Linked DNA regions of Notamacropus eugenii. The protein of the gene in region 4 purifies or fractionates together with the protein of the main gene of each other region. This does not show direct contact. Links are inferred from orthologs where the notes say so. Each region holds a gene or a part of one and is shown on either strand. Other genes may lie near its edges. The genes, in order: BSG, LRRC59, ERLIN2 and CANX.

Region 1 (7,797 bases), on a different chromosome or scaffold from region 4:
AGATCCCCTCTAGGTTTTTACTCTATAGTTCTTTGTAGATAAGGCAGATAATTCACCTAAAGAAAACTAGGAGTTGGCTACATTCCAAGATTAGGGCAAGAAACGAACAAACAAAGCCAAGATGTATAATCTGGGTCAAGAAATCTTCTTCTTTGGTATCTCAACTACTACAAGAAAAATCAAACTGATTCAAGCAATCTGACTACAGCAAGAGAACAGCTCTCCTTCCTCTCTCCCCCCAAATTAAGTGGACTAAATGTCAATTTTCCCTTAGGTGAGGAGAAGAATAGAAAGCAGATGAACCAAATCACAGGGAGAAAAATATCCTAATGGAATAATAATTATTTTGCTTTTTCCTGAGTATGCAACCAAACTTGTCTATGGCACAAAATGAGTCATTTAAAGAAACTAAAGAAATAGGAAATATTTACAGCAGTTTTTGGTAGTGGCAAAAAGCTGGAAATTCAGGAGTGGCCACCAACTGGGGAATGGCTGAATAAATTATTATGTTCACATAATGGCACACTGCTGGGCTGTAAGAAATGAAGAGATAGTTTTGGAAAAACCTTCAAAGACTCATATGAAGTGATGTAGAGTGAAGTGGGAAGAACTAGGAGAACAATTTATACTATATAACATCATTATTATACATGAGACAATTTTGAAAGATTTAAGAACTCTATTCAAGACAGTGATTTACCATGACTCCAGAGAACCAATCATGAAGAATGTTACCCACCTCCTGACAGAGAGATGGGACGGACTAATATGCAGAATAAGACACATTTTTAAAATCTGGACAGTATGGATAATTTGTTTCACTTGACTATGTTCACTTGTTACAAGGTTATAAAAACTTTTTCTTGAAGAAATGGGGGAGGGGAGAATAAATGCTTGATAAATGAAAAAATAAAATTTAATTGAAGACAAACCCATGTGGCAAAAATAGCATGACCTAAAGACAAGTTAAAAGTGAATTAATTCAGTACAAGAGCAAAACTTCTATTTTTTCTTTTCTTCTAGCTTTTCTTTCTTCCCAGGGCTACAATATAAAGGGGAATAAAGGTTCAACGTTTTTGTTGATCTCGTCTTTCTTCACAAGTGTCTAGTGCAGGGAGCATTGAAATAGTTTTTAATTATGAAAAAGAGAAAAGGAGCAGAGTGGGGAAAAAATCAGAAACACAGTAATAATGAGAATATTAAAATGAAAATAGCTAGAGATACAGAAATTTCAGTATAGTGTTATGGTAAGAACATTTAAATGGAAGGCAGAAATTTTCCAGTTCCAACATTTACTAGCTATGACCTTGAGCAAACTGCTCCCCATCTTGGGAACATTTTCTTCATCTGTAAAATAGGGACAGTAATACTTGCAGTTTATAGTTGTTGTCCAAAAAGGACTTCATGAAAAAACCCTCAAGGGTCATAGCTGTACTCCAAATCTTCTCTCTCTTCCATGTGGGTGCACAACACATATATCCTATTATTAGCCATCATTCATAACAAAATAAATTATGTCTTTTCAGAGGGGGAAAAATTCCTTACAATGAAGTCTATTTCACCTTTCGCAAAACTCTTCCCCCAGTAAATGGCAGTCAAGCTGAATTTCTCACCAGAATTCAGAACATCAAGCCCACAAAACCGTTGTAGCTAAAATTTTTATTGCCTGTAATTGCTTTAATCCAGAACTAAACAGAGGAGGAAAAGATATCTTCCTTTACATAAACATTTCCCACCCTATGTCACATGAAGGCTAGATAGCTCTGGCCTAAATTGAGTACAAACAGACCCCATTTGTGGGGGTTGAAAATATAAAGAGCCCTGGAGTGACAGAGACTCGAGTTGCTAAACGGGCTGTGAGTCAGACATCCTTCCCTAAGAGCCTGGAGCCTCGGTCCTCAAACACAGTTTCCCCAACCTTACCTAAACCCCAAAGTCCCCCACCCGGGGGAGGCCCCATCTCCGCAGGCCCAAAGCCCCGCCCCCATTCCTCTAGACACAGGGTCACACTTCATTTCCATCTCCACCCCCACCAGCCAGGCGCCAGGCAGAATCCTTCCCTTCTCCCCTCCGAGACCCCCACGAGGCTGCTCCCCCCGAGGTCCCTGACCCTTCCCGCCTCACATGCCTCCCCCATACAAGGCCCCCTCCTGACCCCCCAGGACCCCAACTCTTCTCAGTCATAGCTCCCCCACCAGGTCCCCTCCAGCGTTTCAACCTTGAGGCTTCATCTCCCCCTACCTGTCCCCAAGTTGGGGGCCCTTCACTCCCGAGCGTTCGGGGTCTCAAGTCTCTAGTTTTTGCGCTCCTCTACTACCCTTCCCGGGACCCTTTGAACCCCAGGCCCCCAGTCTGCACCCCTCCCCCTCCAGGACCCCTTGAACCCCAGGCCCCCAGTCTGCACCCCTCCCCCTCCAGGACCCCTTGGACCCCAGGCCCCCAGTCTGCACCCCTCCCCCTCCAGGACTCCTATAACTCCAGGCCCCCAGTCTGCACCCCTCCCCCTCCAGGACCCCTTGGACCCCAGGCCCCCAGTCTGCACCCCTCCCCCTCCAGGACCCCTTGGACCCCAGGCCCCCAGTCTGCACCCCTCTCCCGTCGGGACCCCTTGAACCTCAGAGGCCCCTAACCCGCGACCCCCCCAATCCTTTGAACTTCAATCCTCCAGCCTGTGTCCCTCCCGCGGGGCCCCCAGAGCCTCATTTCCTCAGCCCGCATGGCTCACCCCTCCACCCCGGGCACACCCTGGGTCCCCTCACCCCCAACGGTCCCCGGGCCCGGGCCGCGGGGGCCTCCAGCGGCCCCAGCCCCACTCACCGGTTCCGGAGGCGGCCCGAGCGCACAGCAGCACTGCCGCCAGCAGCCACAGCAGCGGGGCCCCCATGTCGCGGCGTCGCGGTCCCGAAGTCTTCGAGCGGCCGACCCGCGCCTTGGCTCGGTAGCTCGCTCGGTCACTGGATCCGCGTAGGGCTCCGGCCGCCGCTATAAGAGCCCGCGGAAGAGAGGCTCGGGAGCGCACGCGCACAACGCGGTGACGGAAGAAAAGGAGAGGCGCAGCCCGGGTACGCGAACGCCGTCGGGCTCGCGCCCGTAGCCCCGTCCCCACCCCTGCATTCCCCCTCCCCGCGGGCCTCTAACAACCAATCACCTTCCAGTAGGCCCGCGACTCCGAAGACTGGGCGGGGCCTGTGGGAAAGGGAGAGAGGGAAGTGACGAAGGGCCCGCCCACGGGCGGGGCCGGGAGGAGTGCTCTTTGTAGGTCAGAAGATGTGAGCTTGTGCACGCTTAGGGCCTCCCGCAAAGTAAACTGAGCTACCCTCCACTTATTTCACCTTCCTTTCGTTTCTAAAGCCCTTCAGATCTCACCTCTGAATCAGAGATCTAAAGAAGAATTTAGAGGTCATCTAGCTCAAGTCCCTTATTTTGCAAACGAAGGAACTGAGGCGTGGCGTGGGTGAATGAGTAGCCCAAGGTCAGAGAGCTAGTGAGTGGCAAGGTCAGCATTCGAACCCAGGACTCTCGTCTCCAAATCCTGCCCTATCTCTGCACCACACTCACCCATGGCTCAGTCTTTGTTTACACGCAGCTCGGCGTCCTGTCTTTCCGTTTGTTGTTCAGTCGTGACAGCGTGGACCACAGCACCCCTGTCTGGTCCTCTCCTTGGGGTTTTCTTGGAAAAGCTACAGGAGTGGATTGCCATTGCCAAAACTCTCCGCTATGACCTCTCCGTCCTGGGTATCCCTGCGTGGCAGAGCTCATAGGTTCATTGAGCTAGCGAGTCCCTCATGGATCCACCCTCCCTCGCTCAAAACAAAGTCAAGTGCAAGTCAAGTCATCATTTCCCTGATGTCATGGTCTTCGAAAGCGAAGGAGGAACACATACACAACCCTCATATATCCAAGATGATCCACAGGGAGCCCTTAATGATTGTTGGCTCGAACTGAATTGGCATCTGTTCTCTCCTCTTTTAGCCTGGCATCAGCAAGGCAAGTCCAGGGTCACCTGTGTGCTCTTCAGGTGCAACATCAGCCTAGAGGAAATCTTTTGCTAGACAAAGCAAAGCTAACGGACTTTCTTTTTCTCCAGAGAAAAATCTGCAAGATGATCATTTTGTCCCTCTGTTTACAGATGTTGTCAGTCATACCACTGTTTCTGAAACTAAATCAAATAACTTAAAAAATGAAACAAGCCACTGCTTTTTACACAGGCAATCATGAGTAGAACAAGTGCTTGGAAACTGAGTAGAGTTAACAAAAAGATGAAGAAACTGAGACCCAGAGAGGTTGTGTGTTTCCTCATGGTTACCCTGCTAATAAATCTTCTCTCCTTTGCTTGACTGTTCATGAATCCCCCTTTCTTCCTATCTCCCTCTGCTTCAACTGTTCTTGAACTTCATCAAGACTTCTATATCCTCCATCATGAATACTTTTCTCCTTCTCCATTCTCAACTTAACAATTAGACATTTCACCTCTACACAGTTCTCTGTTTTAGGGTTGGTTTTTTTTTGAGGCAGTCAGGATTAGGTGACTTGCCCAGGATCACACAGCTAGTAAGTGTCTGAGGCAGGATCTGAATATCCTTCATCTCCTAGTTCTGTTCCTGGTCCTCCCTTGCCAAACCTCATCTTCTTTCCTCCCCTTCTTCCTTCTCTTCCTTCTCTTCCTTCTCCTTCTCTTTCCTTTCTTCTTCCAAAGCTGCTAAATGAATTGCAAGAAGTCTCAAAACTGTGCTGACAGGGCACAATATTAATTCATGTCCTGCAATCTCAACAGAGCCTTCTCTGAAACAAGGCAATCTTTTCATTCCTCTCTAATTGATTCCCTCTCTCATTAACGACAGAACCAATCTCCTCCTTCCTCAATCCTCCCAGATCTCCTTCTGCTCTTCAACCTCAAAACTAAGACTCTGGCCTCTTAATTTATTGAGAAAATTAAGGCCATTTAACATGAGTTCTCTCTTCTCCCATTCTCTTCCTCTCAAAACCTGTTGACATCATCTCCTATGTTTCTGAAATGAAATTAAATAAGTTAAATAAAAAATTAAATAACTAAAATGTTTGTTATTTGCATTTATCCTTTGTTGCAGAAGAAGACCATGCCATCGGAGAAATAATGACATGATTTGCACTTGACTTTGTTTTGAGTGAGGGAGGGCTGTGCAAGTCACCAGTCTCACTTCTCCTCCAGAATCATTTGAATTCAGTGACCAGATATTCATCAGGATGACTGGAGATGACCCAGGATGAGGCAATTTGGGGTTAAGTGACTTGCCCAAGGTCATACAGCTAGTGAATGTCAAGTATCTGAGGTGAGATTTGAACTCAGGTCCTCCTGACTCCTGCTTTATCCACTGCACCACTTAGCTGCCCTGTTTGTTATTTAATGAAATAGACAAAGAGGTAGTCTTTCTCCTTGACAAGGTCAACCCCTCTAAATATGCACTTGACCCTGTCCCCTCCTGTCTTCTCCAGCAGGATGCATTTTCAGTCCTTCTCCCCCCCTCTCAAATTTTTAACCTTTTCCTATCTGTTTATTTCTTCCTTACTGTCTTCAAATGTATTCAAATTTCTGCCATCCTTAAAAAATTCTCACTAGACCTTACCATATTCTCAAGCTACCAGCTACATCTCTCCTCACTTTTTCAGCCAAACTCTAGAAAGATGTGTCTACACTACCTCTTCTCCCTTCCTCAACCCTTGGGAGTTTGATTTCATACCTCATCACTTAACTGAGACTCTCCTTTCTGACTTCACTAATAATTTCATATTTGCCAAATCTAATGGAGTTTTCTCATCACCTATCATCCTCCTTACTCATTTGACACCGTAGACTACCCTCTCCTGATTACTCTCACCTAAGTTTTCATTACATTATGTCTTCCTGGTTCTCCTCCTACCTGTTTGGCCAACCTTCTCAGGCTCCTATGCTGAATCTTTATTCAGATCAAGCTTCTCAATGATTGGGGTTCCCCAGGGTTCCATCACAGGCTCTTCTTTCTTCCCTTTGTAATTTTTCTCTTGGTAACTCATCAACTCCCATGGGTTTAACTATCACCTCTACAGAGATGACTCACATACTGTCCTGATATGAGTTTTTTCCTTTGACTTCTCCAGTTCAGCATCTCCAGCTGCAAACTGAATATTCAGGAGACTTTTCTGACCCAATGTGTCCAAAACTGAACTCATTATCTCTCCCTGAAACCCTCCCCCCTCTTCTAAACTTCCCTATTTCTGTCAAAAACACAGATGTCCTTCTAGTCTCCCAAGTGGGTGACCTCAGCATCATGCCGGACACCTCCCTCTCCCTCACCCCACATATTCAGTCAGTGCCAGGCTGTTACCTTACATCATGCACTCATCCCCTTCAACCTAGATTATTATGACAGCCTCGGAATTGGTCTCCCTGACTCAGGTTTTTCTCCATTTCAGTCCGTCCCCTGAACTGCTGCTAAAGTAATTTTCCAGATGGGCAGATCTGACCTTGTGACTCTCCTACTCAATCAATTCCAGTGGCTTCCTATTGCCCCTAGGATAAAATGTAAACTTCCCTGTTTAGTTAGTTTATAAAGCCTTTCACAGCCTGGCCCCAACATCTCTTTCTAGCCTTAACTTTTGTCTGCCTCAATTTCTTCAACTGTAAAGTGAGGATAATTTTATTAGCATTTACCTCCTAGGGTGGCAGTGAGTATCAGATGAGATATAGTAGGCACTAAGTAAATGCTAATTCCCTTCCTCCTTCCTTTCTAGATCGTTGTGGATCACCGATGAAACACCCACTACCTCCCTAACTCCATAGGGAAAAAAAATACACAGTCAGACCTCTCTCAGCTGATATTTCATAGATCCATATGGATTGCACACACAAACCAAACCAAACCAAACACTCAGCACTTTCTTCCTGACTCTAAGGAGAGGTACTTCACATCTGAATTGACTTTTTCAATCCATGGTCCCCGCCCCCCCCTCCCCCCCCCCTCCCGCAAAAAACCATACTGTCAGAGTTCCATTTAACTTCTTATGCTCTTAAAAAGGCAGTAACAGTTTCTATAGCCTCTGTAAGAGACGGATTCAAAACAACAGTTTCATTTAGAGCTAATTGTTTCCTCTGATGGCCTAGTATACATACTAGGGTGAGAGCTCACCAGATTTCTCAATCAAATCAACCAAAAATACGAACCATTCGATCAATCAATTTATCGATGCAGTTCAGCTAGATGGAACATGAAATGTGTTGTGACGTACTGAAGAAACTTGGTCAGGTTCTTTGGGTTTTCTATAAAAATAACAAGCCAATTAAGAACCTAGTATTCAAGTGCCTGACAGATTAGAAAAGAGAATAGTTACCTCAGAGAAAGAATTACTTGGAGAAACTAGTAGGGGTGGGGAAGAAAAGTAGTCTTTCTTCTCTCCTTCTCTCCCTCCTCCCTCACCAAGGAAGGAGCTGGGGAACTTCAGAATGTCAGAGGATTTGGAATTGGATACCCCTAGAGCCCTGAGGAGGAACAGGTAGCCATGTTTTGGGGAAACCTTTCAGTGAGAGGGGGAATTGGGATAAGGATCCTCAGAGCTTACACAGGAAATGGAAACAGCAAAGAGAAGTAAGGGGAATGTATGGACATCGTTAGAGGAATGGGAGGGACTGCTGGGACTTTCATGTTTCATGCACTTTGGAGTTAACAGAAGGCTCCCTTCACAACTGTCTTGATAGGAGTAATTGGCAGAGATTATAACTCTTGTTTATTTAATTTTTTTTGGTTCAAATTTGTGATTTCTTTAATGTAGAGAAAGAATTCCATT
Region 2 (7,802 bases), on a different chromosome or scaffold from region 4:
CAAATAAATACAAAGGAAACCATATACAGGATAAATAGGAGATAATGAACACAGGAAAGACCCTGGAAGTAATAGGGTTTGGGGGAGACTTCCTATAGAAAGTAAGATTTTAACAGGGAAGGTGGGGCAATGAATAGCGTGCTTGGCTGAAATCCAGCCTTGGATAGTGAATTGATAATTAATTTATGAACTTACGAAATGGGGCAGGCACACTTTGTTCTTGGGGTACTTGCCAAGAATGACTATGATAACAGCTGCAAGAAAGGCTGCAGGTGCACTTGAAGAAGTTGCAGATGTAGGGACAAACAGGTACAGAAAGTACTGAGACAGCTGGAGAAAGGGTTATAGGAGGCAGATAGTCTAGGGACAGGGGCAGGGTGATGAAGGAAGGCCGGCCGCATAAGAATGCAAGGGCAGGTAGAGGGGCACAGATAAGCATGTAACCATGGATTAGAGGTGGGGGCATGTGAGTTGGCAGCATGATCTGATGGAGATGGATGAGTGTTTGGGGGCAAGAGTTTGAGGTCTCAGTTTGCAGGGTTTTGGGGAGAACAGATGAACTCTAATAAGTGCCACCTTGGGGTTAGTTCATTAACATATTCAAATCACCTCAGAGCTGTCAGTAAAACATTAAAGTTAACACATCCACATCAACACAAAGTTACCAGCACCATTTAGCGTTTTGCTCGTCTTACTGTGAATGTCTGGAACTTCTCTGAGATTTAATATCACAGGACCAAAAGATCCTGACAGGAAAGGCTTGATTCAGAACATATGACCAGGATGTGATTTTTGGTTAATAGATGATATGATTTATAAATTATGCTCCTTTGATCTTGGGGACTGTTTATACGTGACTTCTGGTTTGCTCTTTGCAATCTTACTTTCTGCTGTTGCTGCTTTATACTGACTACTCATAAACTTCCTTACTAGAAAGGATATGGGAGTGCAGGGAACCAGAACAATATACAGTTTTAACACAGATACTTACTAGCCATGTGACCCTGAACAAGTCATTTGACTGCTGTCTGCTTCCTTTTTCTCATGGAAGGCAATGGAGGTAATGATAGCACCCACCTCCCAGGGTGGTTGTGAGGCTAAAATAATAGTTGTAAAGCATTTTGCAAACTTGAAAGCACAATATAAATGCTAGCAGCTACTATAACTACTCCTCCTACCACCACCACCGCTACTCCTACTACTACCACCACCACCACTATACTACTACTACTGCTTTCAAAACTGTCCCATATGGCTTTGCTTCCTTCTGAAGTTCTTTCTGTTCTCTTTTTTGTAATTAAAAAATTTTTCAATGAGTATTTTTTTAACTAATATTTTTAACCTCCCCTCCCCAATCCCTAACTAGGAGAAAAAAAAATAAACAAGAGTCGGAGGAGAGTACTTTGTAACAACTAAAAATAATCAAGCAAAAAGGAATCCACACTGGAGCCATGTACCTAAAATGCATATCTCTTTGTTCATCTGGTGGTATCATTTCTCTGATGGTATGGTCTTCTTTGAAAACAAAGGACAAACACAACAACATCTGGTCTCCCCACCTCAAGCCTCTCTCTTCTGCAATAAGACTATTTTGTGTTGTCCAAGATCACCTAACTAGGAGGCACCACATGAAAGATACCAGGGACCTGCTTCTGGGAGAAGAAATAATTAATTCCCCTACTATATGGATGGGAACAGTGTGTTTCCACAGGCTGTATCTTTAAAAGGAAGAGGATGTGTTCTCTCTGCCTCTGTCTTTCTCTGTCTCTTTCCCCCATTTTCTCCCTCCCTCTCTCTCCTTCCTACCCCTGATCTGTCTCTCTTTCTCTCCTTCCCCTTCCTCCCTCCTTCTTTTCTTCTCTCTTTTCCCTTTCTGGCACTGTATAAGGCAGAGAGGTGCTATACATCCTCAGCACGGAGCTGCGGGCCGGGGTGGGGGTAAGAACCACCCTCCTTTTCCCATGAAGGGCTTTATTCTGTTTCATTTGTTCTTTTCAGTTCTAGGTACAAGAAGTGGAGTCTCCAGATCTGGACTTGAGCCACAGTGATCCTGGAGGATAAGATTCCAAGCTAGATGTTATTGCTAACTTAGCAGAGAAGCCCTGAAGAAGCCAGGTGACTGGGACTTGAGCCCAAGGGATGCTTTGAACTTGGAATTTGGTGGGACTCTGCTATATAGGAAATGAGCTAAGTTGTGAACCTCCTCCCCTTCTTCTCTTTAGAGATTGAGGTGGTATTGGGGAGAGGGAGGAGGAAGAGAATGTTTTCCATGTTTGTTCTTGCTATATTTTTAAAGCAAACACTCCTTCCTAAAAGCAAATCCAACTATTAACTGATTAAATGGAACTGGAGTGCCAAACACCCCCTAAAATTGGGAAAACCTCATTGGTGGGGGATTGAGCCAATGGCAGAAAGACCAGACACTTCCCAAACTACTTAAGGGTACCAGAGAACCCTGGGGGGAAAGATGAAATGTAGCACACTTGGTCTTCAGGCAGTGGGCCAGAATAGGCACTGTAATGCTTCCAAATATATTTTCCACCTAGCAACCAAAAGAGATTTTCTTAAGTGTGGATCTGATCATATTATCTCCCTCCTCGGTGAAATCCAGTGGCTTCCTATTGTCTTTACAATAACATGCATGCTATTCTGTTTGACCCTTTGCAAGCTGGGCCTATCTTTTCAGTCTCTTGTCCATGACTTCTGTTCTCCAGATAAACTTACCTTTTTGCTCTTCCTCACACTGGCCACTCCATCTTTAATCTCTGTTGCCTTGGCACCAGCTGACCTGCGTGACCAGAACTACTTCCTCCTCACCTCCACCTTCCAGATAGTCTCTGATTTTGTTCATGATTCAGCCTTGCAGAATTCCTTACAACAGCAGCAGCTAGATGACATAGGGGTTTTGAACTTGGCACATTGGAAGACTGATGGTGCCTTCGTCAGAAATAGGGAAATTTGGAAGAAGCAGGGCAGGGCAGTTTGCTCATTTCTAAAACAGGAATAATCATATTACACAACCTTCAGAGGTGGTGGTGATTATTTATTCATCTGTGTGAAACAAAATGAGAATGGTATCTTTTGAATCAGAGAAAAACGTTTCAAAGAGCGATGATTTGGATTGTGTATGCATCTCACAAGGTGCTGTCAAGTGGATAAAGATCTGACTGAAGAAACTGGGTCCAAGAGATCCATTGGACACTTTCTGTGTGACCCTAGACAAGTCACCTAACCTCTTAGTTCTCTGAGCCACCCCATAAAAAGGTGAGGATCAGTATTAGTAGAGAGTTTCCAACAACAATAATTAATAATAGCTTACATTTATATGGCATTTGAAGGTTTGCAAAGTGCTCTACAAATATTTCATTTTAGAGGAGGGGAATGGGAAGGGAATAAGCATTTATTTAGTATATTCTGTGCTGGGATGCTTTACAAATATTTTATCATTTAATCCTCACAAACACCCTGGGGGGGGGTGTAGGTGCTATTATTATTCCCATTTTGTAGAAGAGCAAACTGAAGGAGACAGAGATTAAGTGACTTGTCCAAGGTCCCACAGCTGGTAAGTATCAAAGGTCAAATTTGAACTTCAGATCAGATTTTTCTGAGTCCAAGCCTATCTATATGCTGAATCATCAAGTTGCCTAATCAATGATGCCTCAGATCTACTATATACATGCATACATTGTATGTAAGAAGGATTTTGTTATCTTTTTTAGAGTTCAGTTTCTCAGGATCCATGGGCATGGCAATGTCTAGTTTCCAGGTGTTTGACAATAATTCCCAGAATAATTCCAATGATTTAAGATAGCCATTCCCAGAATCACAGTGACAGTCCCACCGAGGCTGTGCGGTGGGGTAAGGAGTGACATAATATAATATTTACTATGCTTGCGCAGAATGACGATATTGCTGGTTAACCTGTGAGCTTAATGCTGGCAAGATGCCTTCTTTGTTGCCGTATAAAGCAACTGGGCACTGATCAGTGAGTGGGGGGGGGGGGGGGCCGAACCACTGGTAATGCATAGAGGAATGAGGTAGGAATACCTTCCTCAACCAGCTCCCATTGAAGTTTGAGGAGATTTAGAGGAATGCACAAACTGTGCCTTTCTCAATTTATGCCATGGAGAGGTAGGGCTAGTTGCCCCCTCTTCTTGCAGACCTCTTGGAGAAGGGTGATTGGGGAATGCTGCAGGAGCTGGTTCTCCCATTATCATCAACCTTTAGGAGAAGACTAGACTAGGATAAAGCTGATTAGTAACCCCTCTGAAGCTGTCTGCCTGTCTGACCAGATCCAGAGTAAACCTGTTAGAAGCTGGATTCCAAAGACCTCCAGTGCCTCCTGTATGTTACCTGTGACACATACATATGTGTGTGTATGGATATATACAGTCTATACAGTGGATCTGATGTAAATTGTGTACATGCAGAGTTAAATACTGTGTATATGGTGTGAAGCTATGTATACAAATAGTGGATCTGTGTACGTGTATATTCACGTATGTATTGTGTATGTGTGTGCATGTGGATTTCTATCTGTATCTGTAGACGTTATACAGTCTCTTTCCTGAAATACCTGGAGAACAGGGACAGTTCCATTTTTGTACTTTTATCCCCAGTGCCTACTACAGTGCCTGGCACACAGAAGGCGCTTAATAAATGCTGACTCATTGACTACACGGTTCAGGGTCTAATACGTTCGCGTGCACAACCTCCAACCCTCTTGCTTAGAGCGCAGACTGTTTTTCCACGCGCACCGCGGGAGCCTCCGCAGCACTAGGGGGCGGCATCGCGCTCACTCGCGCATGCGCTAGCCTCTCTAGCCCCCCTCCACCCGAGGCGCCTCGGTGTCTCCCGGAGGGAAGACGTGGACACGGAAGTGGCTGGCGGCCGCAGTGACGGAGGCGGGAACTGGATCGCGGAGTACCGCAACTGGCCGCGGAATCCTGGACGGAGGGTAGCGGGGGCAGCGCCAGGCCCGCGGGTACGAGGAGGTCGGAAGGGCAGGAACGTGGCGGGGGTCCGGGCCTCAGGCTTCTGAGGCTGTTATCGCCAAACGGATCCCTGGCCGTTAAACGGCCGTCGCGCGGAACCTTGCGGAGTGCCCGGGCGCGTGCCCGCCGCCGGAAGCCGCCCCCTCCCCCTGCCGAGCCCTCGCGCGCCCCCCTCCACTCCCCACATCTCCCGGAGCCATGGCCAAGAGCGGAGGCAAGGGGGCCAGCCTGCGCGACAAGCTGGACGGCAACGAGCTGGACCTGAGCCTGGGCGACCTCACCGAGGTGCCGGTCAAGGAGCTGGTCAGTGTGGGCGCCGTCCTGGGCCCGAGGGGGAGCAGGGTCTGGGAACCGGGGCCCTGGACTGGACACGTGTCATTCTGGGGGGGAATGGAGCCCCGCTACTAGCCGGGGCCGCGGAGGCCCCGCTTCCAGGCCCATCCCGGCGTCTTAGGCGATGCCCCTTCCCCCACCCCCGGGCCTCAGTTTCCTTCTCTGTGAAATGAGGGGCCGAGACGCGAAGATAGTGTCCGGCGCTGACCTCAGGTTCAGCCGATCCGAGGCGTAAGAGAAGCGGGGCGCCTGCTGTCTCTTTCTTAGGCCTGGAGGAGTAGGCCTTCCTGGAGACCTGGGTGTGGCTGAGGATTGGTGACAATTGGGAATTCTGCAATCCCAGCTGCTCGAAGTCGCCCAGAGCCATTGCTTGTGCTGGAAAAGTTGGGCTGAACTGGTGGGTCCGTCTCGAACATGTGGAAAGTGGATTGAACCCTAGAATGTTAGGACAGCCAGAGACCTTGGGGATCAGGCTATTCATTTTTACAGAGGAGGAGTTTGAAACCCCAAGAGGGGCAGTGGCGTGCCCAAAGGTTAGGATGCACACATTGGGGAAGGAGTATTCGACCTAAAACACCGGGGTTCAACTCTTGGCCCTACCACTTGTTAACATTATGATCTTGGGCAAGTCACTTTCCATTTCTGGACGTCATTTTCCTCATCTGTAGACTGAGTGGATCAAGACTAAATAAATGATGCCCCCAGAGTCCCTTCCAGCTGCAGTTTTTTGGTTCCTGTCTTATCTCTGGTCTTATTCTCAAATTCTTTCAACTCAAAACCAAATGGAGTTGGGTTTCCTGTGTTTAGCAAGGCATATTGGACAGGAATTCTTAATGGCAGTTAGATATATTTGGGGGGGGGGGTCATAAACTTGGATGGAAAAAATATATTCACTAACCTTTCATGGAAATTTAGTGTTTCCTTCCATTTTGAATTTTGGAAAACAGAAAAAAACAACTTTATTCTGAGAAATGGTCCATAGGCTTCATCTGATCGCCAAAGGTGTGGGCCAAAAAAAGTTAAAAAAAAAAACCAAAAAAACAAAAATAAAGCAACCCTGCTCTAGTCAGAAGGGGTGGTTCTGAAGACTTTTTAAGATGGATCTAGTATTGCTCTGAAGCCCTAAGTACTATTCTAGTATCCAAATTTTCCTTTGCTACATGCCCTGTGGCCACACTTTGTTCTTTCTATACTTTCATAAGTAACTGATGGCTGGCCTCAGTTTTTGCTCTATTTTTTGAACCCTGTCATCATTTCATTCTTGTTTTGTGCTTTTTAATCTATTCCGACTCCTCTACTTTAGAAGATATTCCATTAGCAAACAGATGTCACCAAGTATAATAACCTCTGACCAAATATGGATTTTACCTTTCTCCTCTGCTCTTTTCCTAGGCTGCTCTTCCAAAGGCCACAGTACTGGATCTCTCCTGCAACAAACTTACTTCGTTACCGGTAAGATGTGGTTCTCCTCCAAGTACCTGGGGGGATGTCCTTGCTCCAGGCTGGGGGACATGCCATGAGCATGAATCCGTAGGAGAGCCAATGGCTCTAATCAAATATATGGAGGCTAGTAGTTGTTATTAGGAGGAGCGATCAATAAGGACAGTCTTAATTTAAAATTATTTTACTGAATTTTTATAATGTGTAAGACCCTATGGTATATGCTGTGGGGGATACAATGAAATACATTTCTATCTTCATGGAAATTAAAGTCTAGTAGGGGAAATAAGATGACACAAATTAATCAAGAAAATAATCAAGCATAATCAGAAAACTGTATAGTGCTATAGAAGCTTAGAGAAAGGAGAAATTACTTCTGGTTTGGGTGATGTGGACTGAATGAATAAAGCATGTAAAGCACTGTGTTATGGCTGGGATACAGACAGAATAATCAAACTTCTACTCTAAAGAAGCTCACATTCTGATGGGGAAGACACATGGAAGGTTTTAACTGCTAATTGAATGAAAAAGTCCGTGGTCCTTAGGGTGCAGTAGCAAAGCAGATGGTAATGGCTCTTTAATATCATTTCCACCAGTAAAACGTTTGAGGAGGTAGAATTTGCGTTAGGTCTTGCATGGTGGCCAGGTCGAAGGTAGAGGAAATGATACTTCAAGTAAGAGTAAACAGCACATGCATAAAAAGCAAGAAGTTTTAGGCCATGTTTAGGGAAAGGAGAGTAGAGTTATTTTGCTAGTGTGGAGTGTATGTACACCTATATGTGTAGTAGGTATGAAATCTCAGAGGAGCTCAGTGTTCATGTATTTATCCCTGGCAGTAGAGACTGATGGTGGAAGAGTAGGGGTGGTAGGGCCAGCAGAGGGTGTCTGTTGAGATAACTTAGGTCATCAAAGCTGCTAATTTGAGAATGGGAACAGATAACTAGTTCCTCTTCTGGGCAGATCCAGCAGAAGCCATGAGTCAAAGCCATTCTTGGGAACTGGGTGAGAAACCAAGAGAAGCAGAAGGGGTATGAA
Region 3 (7,701 bases), about 210 Mb from region 4:
AAGCAGAACTGAAATGGCACAAAGGAAACGCAGGATGTGCAAATTTGGAGCAACCACCGCAAATGTTCATGTGGACTATCTGTGCTCAATCTGTGGTAGGGCACTCTGAGCTCATATCGGTGTGATCAGCCAGTTGTACACGTTGAAACTTCACTTTATCATGGTGATGTCATTTTGGTCCTCTTCAAGAACGAAGGATAACAACTAACCATCTTACTACAAAACCTCTCCAGAGTCTTTATGGGTATTAGACTGCCTCTAATTCTGTTGCTCTTTACCCAGGATCTTGTCTTACGTGGCCCCAAAGATTGTCCCTTAAGGATCAGTAGAAGGAAAACTCTTGAACAACATTTCTATCTCCTAAAAAGTCCTATAATCCAAGGGAGAGCATAGGATAGAATTCAGATTCATCTTTCTCTTCTTGAGAGCCCTGGAGACACTAAACAACCTAGGATCTCATGAGTTAGAGAGGATTTTTAGAGGCATCACTTCTCCTACCACAATAACAAGTCATCATTCAGGCTCCATTTGAAGGCTTGTAGTGATTGAGAAGGCTCTCCTTCCCAAAGTAGCCCATCCCACTTTTGGCATAGTTATAATTGTCAGAAAGCTGTTTCTTGTATTGAGCTGAAACTTGCTGTCCCGCAGCTTCTGCCCAAGGTATCCAGTTGTGCTTTCTGGGACCAAGCAAAATAAGTATAATCCCAATTCCTATTGACAGTCCTTGAAAAACTGGAAAACTGTGATCCTGTCCTTCCTACATTTCTCCTTTGGCTAAACACCCTCAGGCTCTCAACTAACTGATCTTCCAATGGCACAGTCTGAAGGGACATATATTTGTCAAGGGGGAACAGGCCAGCTGCAAGTGCTGACTGACCAAATTATACAGGATGTCAAACGAACAGGAGACTATGGCTATGTAATTCCAGCCAGAGCCACCCAATGCTAACTGCAGGGTATTTCAAAGGAAACTGTTATTTACTCTTTTCACATGCTAGGGTGATAGACAGTATACGCACAGCAGGGTTCCAGGGCAGGATTTTCTAGAGTGCCTCCTCCTCTCTCCTTTCCCCCATTATTCATTTGGCCCTTAGTAGGGTAGGGACTTGTCACTTGGGAAAACGACTGAACACACAGCACTGCCTTATACACGGTACTTGAATAACACTTTATAGCTGATTATTCCCCAAGGATATCTGTTGAGACAAGCAAAAAGGGCTCAGAAGTCTAGAGTCTGGCCATGAATATCCAGCTGAGCTTAGACATCAGAAAGCTTTAGAGAAGTTATTACTGCATTTATTTTTTTGGCAATGACCTTTGAATAATAAGGGTCAACTTTTAACTCTTATGGGCCCTTAGCACCCAAGATTTACTGCCAAGACCATTTTTCATGTCATGGGACTGTTGGAACAAAATAAGTTCTTTTTGAGAGGGTGCACATACTACTGCTGTGGCAGCCACTTCTTAGATTTTCCACTTCTGTTCAGTTTTCCAATCAGGAAAGAGGCCTTGAAGAAAAAAATACCTTTTGTCCAACCATGTGTAATGATTTTTCATTTGGTAAACAAAGTCGCTGTAACTATACTGGTAAGGGCTGAAGGAATACAGTTTGGAAATATTAGTCAGTAGCTGGTTAGTTGAATCCCTATCAGCGAATTTTACCTTCTTCTCCTTCAACAGAAGGTGGGCAGGAGAATGGGAAAAGAAATAGATAGCAGGTATCCTCAAAGCATTAGCTTACACTTGCAAAAAAGCCAAGATTGAGGTCTCTGGATTCAACAGTCCCTATATGCCACCAGACTGGATCAAAAGCTGGTGCAACAGAGAGGTCAAAGAGTGCTATGGATAAGGTGGGGCTTGATCAAGTCCCACTTTGGGGTCCAGGAGGCATGTGGTTGAGGTGTAAAGTATTCTGGATTTGGAGCCAGCAGATGCAGGTTTGAACGTTGGCTCTTCAGTTTAACATTAGGTAGCATTTAAATGGTGCTTTGATGTGGTGAAGAACTTTGCACTAGCTAGCATTTATTTATACAGCGCTCTAAGACTTGCAGTGCACTCCTCCTTCCCTAGCACTAACACAGCGCTTTAAAGCTGGCAAAGAACGCTACACTAGCTGGCATTTTTGCCTAGCTGACTTTGAGCCGCTTCTTCAGTCGTGTCCGGCTCCTCCGTGGCCCCAGGGCGGGTTTTCTTAGCAAAGATCCTGAAGCGCTTGCCATTTCCTTCCCCTTCTCACTTTACTGAAGAGGAAAGCAGGGTTACGGGCTTGCCCCGGGGTCCCCGGCTGGGGAGTCTTCCTGCCCCCAGGCCGGGCACTCTGCCCACCGGGCCATTCGGCTGCCCTCTAGCTACCCTCACCACAGCCCTGGGAGGGGGCGCTCGCTATCACCCCGCTTTGGCGCCCAGTCCGCTGCTCCGGACCGCCTCTGGGCCACGGCACCTCCCCGGGCCTCAGCTTGGTCATCTCGGAAATGGGCGGCTTCTGACGGTCAGTCCGAGGCTGGGCCTTATCCCTCACAACACCAAAGCTGCCCAGGTCGTTGGCGTGGTCCTCGGGCCTCACGTCCGTCCAGGGCGGGGCGGGCCAAGCAACGTCGGGGGGCAGACGGCGCCCTGGGGCAGCGAGTGACCGAGGGTCAGGCGCGGAAGGGGCTTTGGGGATCCTTGAGTCCGGCCCCCCTCCCCCTCCGCGGACAGACGAGGAAACTGAGGCCCAGAGGTGGCAGGAGTCGGGAGAAGGCGGTGGGCTTGCAGACCCCCGCCCCGGAGGGTGGGAGCCCGAGCGGGGGGGCGGGGGGCGGGGGAGGCCCCAGGAGGGGAGAGAGTTGGGGGAGCGGGACGGGGCGGCGTCTAAGGCTGTCCCTCCTGGCGCTCAGTACCTGTCCGAGCTCCCTCCCCGGGGAGCCGCTGCCACTCCGCTCAGCACAGCACGTTTCCTCCTTCCGGGTCCGTCGCCGCCGTGACACGTCATCAGGAGGCGCGGGGGGCAGAATTCCTGTGTCTCCCTCTCTCCCTGAGCCTTCCTTCCCTGCCCCGCCCCCACCGCGCCTCTGCAGCCGGCCGCGTTCACCCGGCCCGATCGGCCACAAGGGGGCGCCCATCCCTCGGTCCCACCGACCCCCGGGAGGGCCTGGGCAGCGAATGGATGGATGGAGTCCTGTGGGGTGGGCAGACGGGGGAATAGAAAGTCGTGAAGATGGGGGTGAGGGGGAAGGAGGAGGATGTCGGTCTTGCCCTCCTGCCCTGGCCCAGGATGCAGGGATCAAGTCTCCCCATTTCACAGACAGGGAAGCTGGGCTCATGTCTTTAAGAGGGAAATCACGGGACCCTTTCGTGTTAGAGAGAAAGAGGGTCTGGAAGGGGGGCGGGCGAGGCCTGGCCAGAGCTTAGACGGGTCACGTCACTTCTCCGAGACTCAGCTTTCTTCTCTCCAGAGATGACTGAGGTGGTAGGACACAACACATAGAGGTTGGCCTTGGTGTTAGGAAGAGTCAAGAGTGGCCAAGGATAGATGGGAAAGTAGAAAGGAAAGGACTGAGCCTTAAGTGCCTATGATGTGCGGTCACTGTGCTAAGTGCTAAGGCTTCACAACATGAAGTCATTCAAGCTTCACAACCTTGGGAAGGAGGTGCTACTATTATCCTCATTTACTGTTCAGGGAACTGAGGCAGACAGAAACAAGTGACTTGCCAAGGGTCACTTAGCTAGTGTCAGAGATGGATTTCAAGTGTAGGTCTTTCCTTACTTCTAGTTTAGTGCACTTTGCGCCATATCCTGCTGTTTTCAACAAATGATCTTCTAGCCTCCACTTAAAGATCTCCAATGATGGGCATCAGGGTAGCTTCTTGTACCATTGGACCGCTCTAATGATTAAGAAGGGGCTGTTCCTTCTGTGGAGTTTAAGTCTGCCTCTCTGCAGTTATCTCTGGCCATTGCAAGTCTTCACTCTGGCCATCATTTCCACTCTTTTCTTGCTGGAAAACTGGGCTCTTTCCCCTTGGAACCTTCTTTGGCTTTTGGTCAACATTGGCCTCGTTTTGCTCAATTCTAGGTCTTTATGGCATTCCCAGATACCTCCATGACAAATGTATTCCCCTTCTACACTCTGTCCTTGTGCAGATCTCTTTTATAGATTTCATTCCCCATTAGAATGGAAGACCCTTGAGGGCAGAGACTGTCTAGCATGCTCTTATTTATATCTCTATGCTTAGCATTTAATAAATACTCTATGTATTTATTGTTTACCCATGTATCTATGTCTGCTATCTCCATCCATCTATCTATCTATTTATCTATCATCTATCTACTCATTATGCCTAGTTCTTTCCCCTGGAGCCTAGCAAAACTGGTTTAATCTCTCTTCCACATGACAGTTGTATAGATATAATGCCTCCCCTAAATATTCTCTAGGCTCAGCATCCTCAGTTACTTGAACAGATTCCCATGTGACATCTTCCCATCCGTCTGTTCTCTGTTCAGCTCCCTTTCTCTGGTTCTTTAGCCTGACAGTTTCCTTTCTACTGCGTCCTTATGAGTTCAGAACTCAATGCAGCATGCCAGGTGTAGTCTGAGGAGAACAGTGTCCCATCACTTCCTTCATTCTCAGTTGTGGCAAAGTGTCTGCAAAGGGAAAGAAGGGTCTTACATCTTCGGTTTTTGTAAGTATTTTGTTAGGTCCAAGATACAAAATTGGAGAGGAGAAGAAAAATGGAAATAAATGCTATGCCTGTGGATGCCTAGAAAGAGGGTGCCTAGAAGGAATGAGGAAGGAACTTAGGTCAGTCATAGGGGAAACTCCCATTTATCCTGGGGGTAGAAATCAGAGACCCATGATCAGGCAGAGAAGACTGAGAAGAAGCAGTAAGACAAGTAGGAGGAAATAGCAGTTCTACAAAATTAAAGGAGGGTATCCTACAAAGCCTAAGAGCTGAAGAGAAGAAGAATTTTTTTGTTGTTGTCAAGTTGGACACAACTCTTCATGGCCCAATTTAGGGTTTTCTTGGCAAATAGGCTGGAGTGGTTTGCCATTTCCTTCTCCAGCTCATTTATAGAGGAAGAAACTGAGCAAATAGGGTTAAATGACTTGCTCAGGGTCACACAGCTAGTGTTTGAGGTCAGATTTGAACTCAGGAAGATGAGTCTTCTTGACTTCAGGCTCAGCGCTCTATTCATTTCACCACCTGATGAAGGCTGGTAGAAGGTCACTGGCTTTAGGCAAGGAAGACAGTTGTTGGTAATCTTGGAAGGAGCAGTTTCACAGAAAACAGGATCATTTGTTTAGGAAGTTGAGAGTGGTGATTGTGAAATATCTCTTCTTATTCCACCACAGAAAGCTCAGTGATTTCTAGATTTTAACATGGTACAGTAGAAAGAATGCCGGGTTCAGAGTCTGAGGATCTGAGTTCAAATTCTGATTTTGCTGCTTACTGACTATATGTCCTTATACAGGTCACTTAACCTTTATGGGAATTGGTTTCTCATCTGTAAAAAGAGGGGATTAGATTGGATGACCACTGAGGTCCCTTCCAACTCCAAATCTGTGATTGAGAGCCTATAATCCTGAGAGTCATATCATAAAGTGGCTAAATCAGAAATGCCCACAATAGGCCATGGTTCAAAGCCACCATAATTCTTACTCATTCTTTATACATTGTAATCTGGTGCTTGGGTCTGCAGAAATAAAGTTGTTAGAAACCTCAGAAAGAGAAGACTTTTTATTTCATCTCCTGCTGGGGCTAGGTGATTTTGTTTCTATTTCATGGAAAGATGTGTAGTATGGTATAATATAAAGAACATTGGGCTGAAAGTCAGGAAAGTTGGTTTTGAGTGGAGGCTCTGACTGTAATTAGCTGTGTGGCCTGAGGCAAACCATGCACCCTCCTCCACCTCAGTTTCCTTGTCTGAAAAATGAAGGAGTTGATCTAAATACCTCTTTGCTCTGTTTGAAAGAAAAAGTTTGGGGACCATGAACTCATCCTAATGGATTGGCTCACAAAGAAGGGAATCGCTTATTCTCTGGAAGGACAGATTTAGGGAGGGGACCTTGTTGTAAATCCAACTGAGAAGGACTTTCATGCCACTTAAAAAAATCAGGCCCGAAACAGCCATAATGTTTGTCAGGCCACATTTTACTGTTCTTAAATAAGTGTGCAGGGTGTGGGAGATGAAATATGGCAGGTATTTGATTTAAAAAGCCGGCACAGATTTAATGTCCTGATAAAATGTATTAAATCTTTTAAGGTTTTAATGAATCTAGTATGTGTTTCATAAATCAAGGAACGCCGGGAAGCCGTCTCCCAGTTTAATAAGAGTAAACTAGGAAATTGCTCTGAGCAGAAGCAAAATACATTTATATCACATTGAAAAGTAATAGATTTTTAAGCAGTGGGGTTTTTCTGGGGCTTTTCTGAGTCGTTTGCTTATTACGTTGCTCTGGTTCCTTCAAATATTAAACCACGGGCAAACACGTGCTTAACCATATAAAGATGTGAAACTGCACAAAGGTAAATATTATTTGTTAGAGCCGGGAAAACAAAGCCTGTGCTTTGCAAAGTTTTCCACCGGAGCCAGACTGTGTTTCTGTACAGAAACCTTCTGGACATGGTTTAACACTGCTGAAGGCAGAGGGGTTTGTTTTTGTTTATTTTTTTAAAGGAAAAGATTATTATTGTTATTATATATTAACTTTTATTAGCCCCTCCTCTTCCCTAAATTCCCTCCCACCTCCCTTTATTCTGAAGTACTACCTTCCCTCTTTCCTACCCTTTTCTCCACTCTCTCTCCGCCCCCAACTGCTTGATTGAAGCGGTGAGTGTATAAAAATCCTCTTTGACTTTTACTGGTTCGCTTTGGAATGGGCTCATTAAGGCAGATTGCCTGTAGTCGGTCAGACTGGCCAGAAGAGGAGTCCAGGAGCCTTTCGTCGCTTTTAAATCCAAGGAAAAGGGGGTTCCCTTCGGTCTTGCTCTTCTCACAGTTTTTGTATACATCTCCCAGTCCCCTCTCCCTCCCACCAGGCCTGGCCTCCTAGTCAAGTTCCCTGGCCCCTGACTGGGGCAATGCCTTCATGTTGGGTGAGGTGGCCCAGGGCAAGGAGACCTTTGCTCTGGGCCTTTGTTCCCAGGTGCCACTGCCTTGGGCAACTGCAGCCTGTGGCGCTGGGGAGGTGGCCTTGGGTCGTCAGTTGGGGGTTGGGGGGCTCCAGCATTCTTGTGCACAAAAGCTGGCAGGGCTCGTGAGCTCTGCAGGGGAGGGAGCGGGGGCCCATAAAGCTCACTGTGGAGAAGCCTGTCCAACCTCATTAGCTGTCACGGGCAACAATACTGATCTGGCAATAAAGGCGATTCCAAACCTGTTGGTCATTAATCACTCGCCTGACAGTTTCGAATGGCGCTGGAAAAACCTCATCCCTTTCCACCACCCCCACCCCCTTCTCCTGCCCAGGCGCTAACGTTTAGAGCTACCTCCATGGGTATATGCGGTTCGTGTGGCTTTTTGTGTTGTTGTCCTGTTCCCCTGGGCCACCCCTCCTCCATGTGCCCAAGAGTGATGGGGGCAGGGGGTGGGGGTGGCGTACCCAGCCTGGGTGGCCTAGAGCTTGGCAGTAAAGAGAAGAACTTTGTAGGGGCAGAGCTGAGAAGTGGGAACTGCAGTTTCCTTGAGGCATCGATCTGGCCACTTTGGGGGTGAGAGGTCTGGTCT
Region 4 (7,962 bases):
CCTAATATTATGTAACAAAGTAGCAGCAAGGATTTTTCTTCTAGAACCACTTAACTCAGTGGGCTTTGTAAGATTATCATTCAGCAGTTTAATGCTAGTTATCAAAAACAAAAGTCTGCTCTCCATATTGATACCAAGGATCTGCGTTTACTGTGATAAAGGCACTTACAATAGATACAACTTGTGTATTAGTAAAATCAGAAAAGAATACTCAGATCCCCCAATATCTTAACAGAAAAAAGTCCTGTCTAGTCTCAAATTTAACTTACTACATATACCTGTAGTGCCAATACATGTCACTTTAATTTCAGTTTTAAGATTTTTTTTTTTTAACCAAAGCTTCTTTATAATTCATTCACCTACTACATTAGGTTGCACAAAGTGAGAATTACCATGAAATTGACAATTACTCTTAAGCCCGGACTAGAGCGAAAGAATCAAAAGAAAAGCTGCCTCCATGGCTCAAGAAAGATCCACTTTATATTTGGTAACAGATCATCACAATAGTACCCCATTAAAAAAATATTCAACAAAGCTCGATTCCAAAGCAATATTCAAAACCACACAAAAATCTAATTCAAAATTAAAAGTAATTTGGAGTTTCCCTTCCAGCATATTTCTTTCCTCTCCCATATTGTAGACACATGTCAGTACTGCCTTCCAAATTGTCCCTTAGTGGCAATGGTGAGATTTACCACCAACTCCAAGTTTATTTTTCTTCATCAGCATAAATGCCTTTGCTTATGGTAAACAGCTAAATTTCCCTGCCTTCTCCCCAACATCTCAACTAGATATGTGTAAAATGTTTAGTGCAGTGCCTGACACATAGCAGGTGCTCAATAAATGCTTGTTCCCATCCCCAAACATTTATTAAGCACCTACCAATACAGAGCAATGGTTATGTGATGTTATAAAACATATAGAAGGTATACTGCCTATCCTCTAAAAATCTAGAGAAATACAACATCAATATGAATTTGCAACACAATACCATATAAGAACCTTGAAGAATTAGAAAGCAAAATGCCAGTGAGGTCTGAGGAGAATGTGATTATTATCAAAGAAGGCATTTGGGATGAAGTTAACATTTAAATTGGGATTTAAAAGCTGGGTAGGATTTCACAAGATGACTAGGGAAAAAGAGGGTCAACTTCAACAAAGGCATAAAGTTGAGTGTGCTATTTGCGCTCAGGAACACAAGGTTGTCCAGTTTGGCTGGATCAGAACATGTTAAAGAATAATGTTTGGAAAGGTAGATGGGGTGATTCCAGGCTTGGAGCCTTGGATACCAGGAATAGTTGTTGAAGTTTACTCAGTAGGCAGGAGAGAGCCACTTAAAAAGATCTTTTGTTTGTAAGTGTGGCATGACCAGATCCATTTTCAAAGGTTATTTTGGCATTGGAATGAAAGATTGAAAAGGGCTGGTTAAGAGTTCAAGAATGGATGGATTCCAGAAGATCTAGTCACACTGATTGACTCCAAAAATTTTAATCAATTCAGCGAACATTTGTTAAACACCTGCCAGTGCAAAAGGACCGCTGCCCTCAGGGCAAACTAGGTAGAGAGTGGTGATACAAACCAGTACTCAGGAATCTGTTTTGATAAAAATATAATTAATGTGCTTTTGGACATGTTGAGGTCTAGGTCTCTGTAGGATGTCCAATGAAGATATTCCTTAGGCATTTGGAGATGTGTCTGGAACTATAAATTGAGGAATTATCTGCACAGGGTTAGAAACTTGGATAGTGGTATAGCCAAGAGAGTGCTTGTCGAAGGACAGAAAAGTCTCATGGGGAGCACCCACGTGGAAGACAGAATTTAAAAGTGAGAATATAATGCCTGAAACAGAGAAAATATTACTTCTAGTACTGTATCAGAGCTTAAGGGACCTAGAAAATGGTATGGGCTTAAGACCACCAAAGAAAGTACTAGAAGAATGAGGTTCCATACAGCTTTGCCAATCACCTGGCTGTGTGACCTTGGGCAAGTTGCTTCCCTTCTCTGGGCCACTAAAACAAGGAGATCGGCCCTGGAAAGGTTATCTTTCCAGAGATAAGATTCCCAAAACTCTTTGGAATACTTATGACTCTCTAAAGACAAATGAAGAACTATATATAGACAGACGTCCACGTTCCTAACACTTAGGAACAAGTTTTTCGACCTGTCTTCCAGCAGTTTCTTTCCCAACAAGTTACCTACCCCCTGAGCGAGGTCCCCTTTCCCACCCTGCCCCCGTTTCGAGATCGTTGGTTTCTCAACATCTCAGCCACCTCGTGGCCGGGAGGGTCTGCCTTCTTCGTCCGGTACGTTCCCGGGCTCTTGCCTAAACGCAGGAAGATGGCTTCTCTCTCCCCCGCGCCGCCCCAGGCCTGTCTCTCCCCAGAGGCCTTCCCACTCGGGCTGGGCCAGGCCGCACATCGCCCGCCTGGGGATGAGCGAACAGACAAGGGGCACGCGGGCCTCCGAGGCGCCTGGGCCGCCGCCCGCTGCGGCGAGCCCGGCCCGGAGGTCACGCCCCCCTCCGGGCTCCGGCCCCGCTGACCTCCCGTCCGGCCTCCCTCCGCAGGCCTCTCCACTCCCACAAATCTTCGCACGGGCCCGGCTCCGGGCTCCATCCTGCTTTTCCGCTGGGCAGTCCCGGTCCCCAGCCCCAGACCGCGTCACTCCCACCAGTCCTCTGGTCCCCAGGGCCTCAGGCCTCTTCCCCCACCACTCAAGCCTGGCCAGCCTAGGCCAGCCCTCCTCCGCCCCGGACGTGAACCGACCTCCCAGACCCCGGCCGCCCAAGTCCCCAGGACTAGGGCAGCTGCGTCCGTCTCACCTCGTGCTTCGCGGCCGGCGCCGGCGCCACTTCCCACCCCCTCGCCCCACGCCCAGCACCTCGGATGCTGCAGCGGATCGTCCCGAAGCGAACGTCACGTGCCTCAGGACTAGGAGGACGCCGAGCGAACCCCAACGCGCGCGGCGCCCTGCCCAGGCCCCACCCCTAGTTTCTGATTGGTCAATGCTGCATCTCAACCCTGCCTCTCTCCCATCGTGCTAGCACTCCATTGGTCTGTTTGACCATCGCTCCAGATACCTTTCCACACGCCCCCTAGGGCTACTCTTCGTGGAGGATGCGGATTGGCTAAAAGGGAGGGCAGGAAGTGCCTGCTGATTGGATGGAAGACAGCTGGTGGGGGAAGGGAGCAAGAGCAAGGAGGGAAGGCCCTCCCGACTGACTGTGGGCCAGGAATAGACCAGACTGGGCGGTGACGGCCTTTGGATTGTAGCACTGGACTCCACCCGTCCGCCTCCTGTGGAAGCCTGGGATTGGGAGATTAGAAGAGGGTCGGTAGCCCTGGTCTCCGCGTGGCGCTAGTGCAAATGACCCAGGATTTTAGCTCTCCCCCTCTCTTCCTTGACTCCCCCTTCGGTTTCCCGCGCGCGCGCGTGCGCCCGCCTTCATGATTGGCTCGGGGCGGAGAGAGCCGGGGCGTGCAGATTCCTGGGTCAGGGAGGGGCGACCTGGCCCGGAGCTAGAGATAAACACCCGCTGGGCACCCTCCCGGGCCTGCCGCCCGCTTTACTCTAGCCAGCCCGGCTCGTTCGTTGCTTTCCTGTGAGGGCTTTGCGACCCGACACTTTCTTCCCACTTTCCCCCCCGTAGACAGGCTGGAGAGGCACTGGCCTAGGAGCACCCAGGCTTCCCAGCTCGCCTCCTTTTGAAAGGGCTGGCACAGATAATGAATGGGATTCGCATTCCCAGTGTACACATGGGCAGCCGGGCCAGGCAGGCCAAAGACTTGACAGCGATGCAGTGATCTGCGCGCAGTCGGGTGGTTTTCCGAGTTAGCGCATTAAGCAGACCGTCCCGCGTGGGTAACGGCCGGTGCCGCCTTGTCTGTGAAGCCTTGCTGGCCGTAGAAGTACCGAAGAAGTAACGGACTGGGTGAATGTGTCTAAACACCCGGACGTCACGCTTCCCAGGCCCCGGAGATCTCTCCAGCCTTTCGGGCTTGATTTCCCCGCCCCCACGACCGCAGGCCCCTCAGCCTCCTGTGACTTTGGGGCTTTTTGAACCCGGAGCTTGAAGAGGGATCTTGTTCTTTCATTCAGGGTCAGTGTTGTGAGCCCCGGCCGGGATAGCAGTTTAAGTTAAACATTCAAGGCCGGGATACGTTTCCTTATTGGTCTGTGTTATGACACCAGCACCCCCTTCCTCTCCTGCGTCCATCCGCTCTCTGGGCTGGCTCACCAGACGTTCTTCTCCGCTTTGGGAAACAACTGCCCCTGTTGCCTGAGGCCTGTGCTTGATGGAGTTGGAAAGGGCATGTTTCCCAATTTCTCTGTCTTTCCCTTGGGGCACCCTTATTAAATGGGTGCACTTCCAAATGCCTACAGGATGCCCTACCGTACCCCAAATTTAACACGTCTAAATTGGAACTTGTCACTTTTTTGCCAAAACTGACCCTTTTGGCATTTTCTGTCAAGGGCAGAGCCTTCCCCTCTGTTAGCCAGGATTAAAACCATGGTGTTACCTTTGACCCCTCTCTCCTACCCCGTCTCCATTGAGTCCCCCTTTCCGCCACCTCCCCATTTCAGGCTCTTCTTCTTGGCTGATTCAGTAGCCCTCTAAATTCTCTGTCTCCAATTTCTCCCCAGCCCACTCTGCACACTTGTGTACTCTTCTAAGCTATTTCCCTCATGCGCAGCCCTGTCATGTGGCTAAATCCACAGTATGACATAGCAGCCAAAGGAGTGCAACCTTGGCCCGCACCAAGAGAAGTCTGGTGTCCGGAGGGAGGGAGCTGGCAGCGCTTGCACTGGTACCGTGTCCAGTTCTGGATGCTGTATTTTAGGAACCCCGTGAACAAGCTGAAACAAGAAGTCTGGCAGTTCGGATGGAGGAGGGAATTGGACATGATCAGCTGAAGGAACTGTGTATGTTCAGTGTGCGAAGGAGAAAACAGATTTTTTTTTCATCATTTTGGGGAGCTCTCCTGTGAAAAATGCTTTCATTGAGGAAACTCCTCTGTAACTGCTTGTCTTAGAGTTATCAAAGACACTGAGACGTAAACTTGTCTGGTCACATGACCAGAATCTATTAGAGGCAGAACTCCAATAGGCAGCCCAATAATCAGTCAAAGAAGTCTGACTGGACTATTTATACCAGAAAGGCCAAGTGGAAGAAGAGCACCTTTTACCCAGATTACAACATAAATTTGGCTGGACAACCTATAGTACTTGCCTATCAGCATGTATATCTGGGACAGATAGTACAGCCAAAGGAAACTTGAGAAGGGTTCCCAAATACAAATAACCTTTCACCTCCTTAATTAAGACTGGGATACCTAGGGAAGCAGGAAATTGAAGAAAAATTTTACAGCAAGTTTCTCTGACAAAGGTCTTATTTTTCAAATATATAGAGAACTAGATCAAATTTATAAGAATATAAGTCATTCTCATTTGATAGACGGTCAAAGGGTATGAACAGGAAGTCTTCAGAAGAAGAAATCAAAGCTATCCATAGTCATGAAAAAATGCTCTAAATCACTATTGATTTGAGAAATGCAAATTGATACAACTCTGAGGTACCACTTCACACCTATCAGATTGCCTAATATGACAGAAGGGGAGCATGACAAATGTTGGAGGCGAAGTGGGAAAATTGGGACACTAATGAACTGTTGGTAGAGTTGTGAAGGGATGCAACCATTCTGGAGAGCAATTTGAAACTACTCCCAAAGGCCTATATACTCTTTGGCCCAGGAATATCATTTTTAGGTCTGTATCCCAAAGAGATCAAAGAAAAAAGAAAAGAACTTATATGTACTGTTATGATTGAAATCAAGATAAACTGAGAAACAAGATCCCAAACATGATACATTTAGTAGTTAGGCAAGCAGTACCCAATAAATTGGGTCAATGGCCTCTCTCAATGACCAAAGACCCTGAGTGAGGGCTAACAGGGTCTTTTATAACAATTGACAAGATGACAGAGAAAAATTTCCGGTGCTCTAAGTGTATTATCTTCTAAAGAGGAGGTGGGTTGAATCACCTCAGTTCCTTCTCATTTCTTCCTTTTGGGGAGATAAAAGCAATCCTAACTTGAAAGGGTTAGCCTACAGACTTGAATCAACTTGAATCTGAATTGTTTTCCTTTTGCTTTTTAAGAGGACCAATAACTTGAATCTTGGGTGAATTTGATTTAAATGAGATAGAGTTGCACAAAGTCATCAACCTCACCCTCTCCTCCTGAGTCATCATAGGCCAGTGGCTAGATAAAAATCAGGAAGACTGGCGGTGGTGGAGATGTAGTGGATTACTTTGGAATCTTCAATGTCTAACCAAGATCTGAGTTCTTCACTTTAAGGGACTGCTTCAGCTGCCTTCATGGCTGAACAAATTGTTCTCATCTGCCTATTTTGCCAAGGAAGAGTTTACATGCTTAGGGTAGGCATCCCTATCATTCACCCACAGGTTTGAGGCCCTTGGGTTACCCACAAACTGGATTGGCCCATCTGCCCAATTTGGTAGTGGGTGGCCCTTTGTGGATTCTACAGCTTCTTGGAGCCCTACGTGATAGCTAAGTAAAAGGTGAAAGGTGGACACGAAAGTTGGTGGAGTAGCTCTGAAAAGGGCTCAGCAAGCCCTCACACCATTGAGGCTGGTCCTCCTGAAACACCTCATACACCCCTGAACTTAAGTGAGTAGTGGATGAGGTTACAAAGGTAGACAATACAAGGGTGAAGATTTAATTCAGAACAGAATTGAATTCTGAGTAATTACAGGATTCTTTAAATAGATTCTTTAAAATATAATTAAAATCAGTTTTAAATTTTACGGTACAAACAGTACAAAAATATTTATAGCAGCTCTTTTTGTGGTGGCAAAGAATTGGAAATCAAAGTAATGCCCATCAACTAGGAATCAGCTGAACAAAGCGGGGTATATGATTGTGATGAAATGCTATTGCACTATAAAAAATGATGAGCAAGATAGTTTCAGAAAAATATGGAAAGGCTTATATGAACTGATCCAAAAATTGAGCAGGAGATCATTGTACATAATAAAAGCATGATTGTGAATAACTTGGTTATTCAGATCAGTGTAATGATCCCAGATAATTACAAAGGACTTATGATGAAAAATGCTATTCACCTCCAGAGAGAGAACTGATGGAGTCTGAATGTAGATTGAAGCATAATTTTTTACTTTAATTTTCTTAGAATTTGATTTTTTGTTTGTTTGGATTTTTTGGTCTTTTTCTTTTTTTGCAACATGACTAACATGGAAATGTGTTTTTCTTGACTTCATATGTATAACATATATCAAATTGCTTGCCTTCTCAAGAAGGAGAGAAAGGAAGAATTTTGAACTCAAAAATTTTAAAAATAAATGTTAAAAATTTATTTACATGTAATTGGGAAATGTTTAACAAAATAAAAATATATTGGGAGAAAAATGGGATATTTGCTGAAAGCAGGCAGGCATAGGAGCCTTTATAAATGTCTTGGCCTTGGCCAACAGTTTCAGGAAAGAATTCTTCTTCATGTTTTGGAGTCAATAAACAAAACTGATTTCCCATTCCTTTCTACCTCATTCAGTATCCCACCTAACTGAGCCTTGGGGTAAGGAAAGATTCTTCTTCCCAAGATGAGCAAAAAAACCCCCCAAAACAAAAAACAACCAAGAATGATACCCAGTGTTGGTAGTTATTTATTCCATTAGTCTGACTGTGCTGGGTACAGAAGGTCAAGAAAGGCAGCTGGGGAGCCTGCTATTCTCCCTAACTACATCTAAGTTTCAAGGTCATACATTTGGAGCATGGAGTATGTCTGTTAAAGTTCACTAAAGGTGTCATGCTGTATAATCAAGGGACACAGAGGTTTGGTTTTATTGATCCAGGAGACTTGGTTCCCATTTTTATTTTTCCCCTTGGACACATAAGTAACTTGTCTGACATGAATAAGAGCTTTT

What was found.
Region 1: the proteins of CANX (region 4) and BSG purify together in Homo sapiens (affinity purification with mass spectrometry; 3 studies listed by BioGRID and IntAct, with this or other methods). This does not show direct contact. The link is inferred for Notamacropus eugenii from reciprocal best matches to the Homo sapiens genes CANX and BSG.
Region 2: the proteins of CANX (region 4) and LRRC59 purify together in Homo sapiens (affinity purification with mass spectrometry; 3 studies listed by BioGRID and IntAct, with this or other methods). This does not show direct contact. The link is inferred for Notamacropus eugenii from reciprocal best matches to the Homo sapiens genes CANX and LRRC59.
Region 3: the proteins of CANX (region 4) and ERLIN2 purify together in Homo sapiens (affinity purification with mass spectrometry; 4 studies listed by BioGRID and IntAct, with this or other methods). This does not show direct contact. The link is inferred for Notamacropus eugenii from reciprocal best matches to the Homo sapiens genes CANX and ERLIN2.

What each region holds. Positions count from the first base shown.
Region 1 is NC_092875.1:69,278,753-69,286,549, reverse strand, and holds the start of BSG (basigin), read right to left. Parts: upstream 3,002-7,797; 5' UTR 2,885-3,001; coding exon 2,818-2,884; intron 1-2,817.
Region 2 is NC_092873.1:360,388,782-360,396,583, reverse strand, and holds the start of LRRC59 (leucine-rich repeat-containing protein 59), read left to right. Parts: upstream 1-4,801; 5' UTR 4,802-5,192; coding exon 5,193-5,297; intron 5,298-6,719; coding exon 6,720-6,779; intron 6,780-7,802.
Region 3 is NC_092872.1:623,278,589-623,286,289, forward strand, and holds the start of ERLIN2 (erlin-2), read right to left. Parts: upstream 3,002-7,701; 5' UTR 2,880-3,001; intron 1,625-2,879; exon of another isoform or gene 1-1,624. UniProt on the Homo sapiens protein: Component of the ERLIN1/ERLIN2 complex which mediates the endoplasmic reticulum-associated degradation (ERAD) of inositol 1,4,5-trisphosphate receptors (IP3Rs) such as ITPR1.
Region 4 is NC_092872.1:416,716,770-416,724,731, forward strand, and holds the start of CANX (calnexin), read right to left. Parts: upstream 3,004-7,962; 5' UTR 2,822-3,003; intron 1-2,821. UniProt on the Homo sapiens protein: Calcium-binding protein that interacts with newly synthesized monoglucosylated glycoproteins in the endoplasmic reticulum. It may act in assisting protein assembly and/or in the retention within the ER of unassembled protein subunits.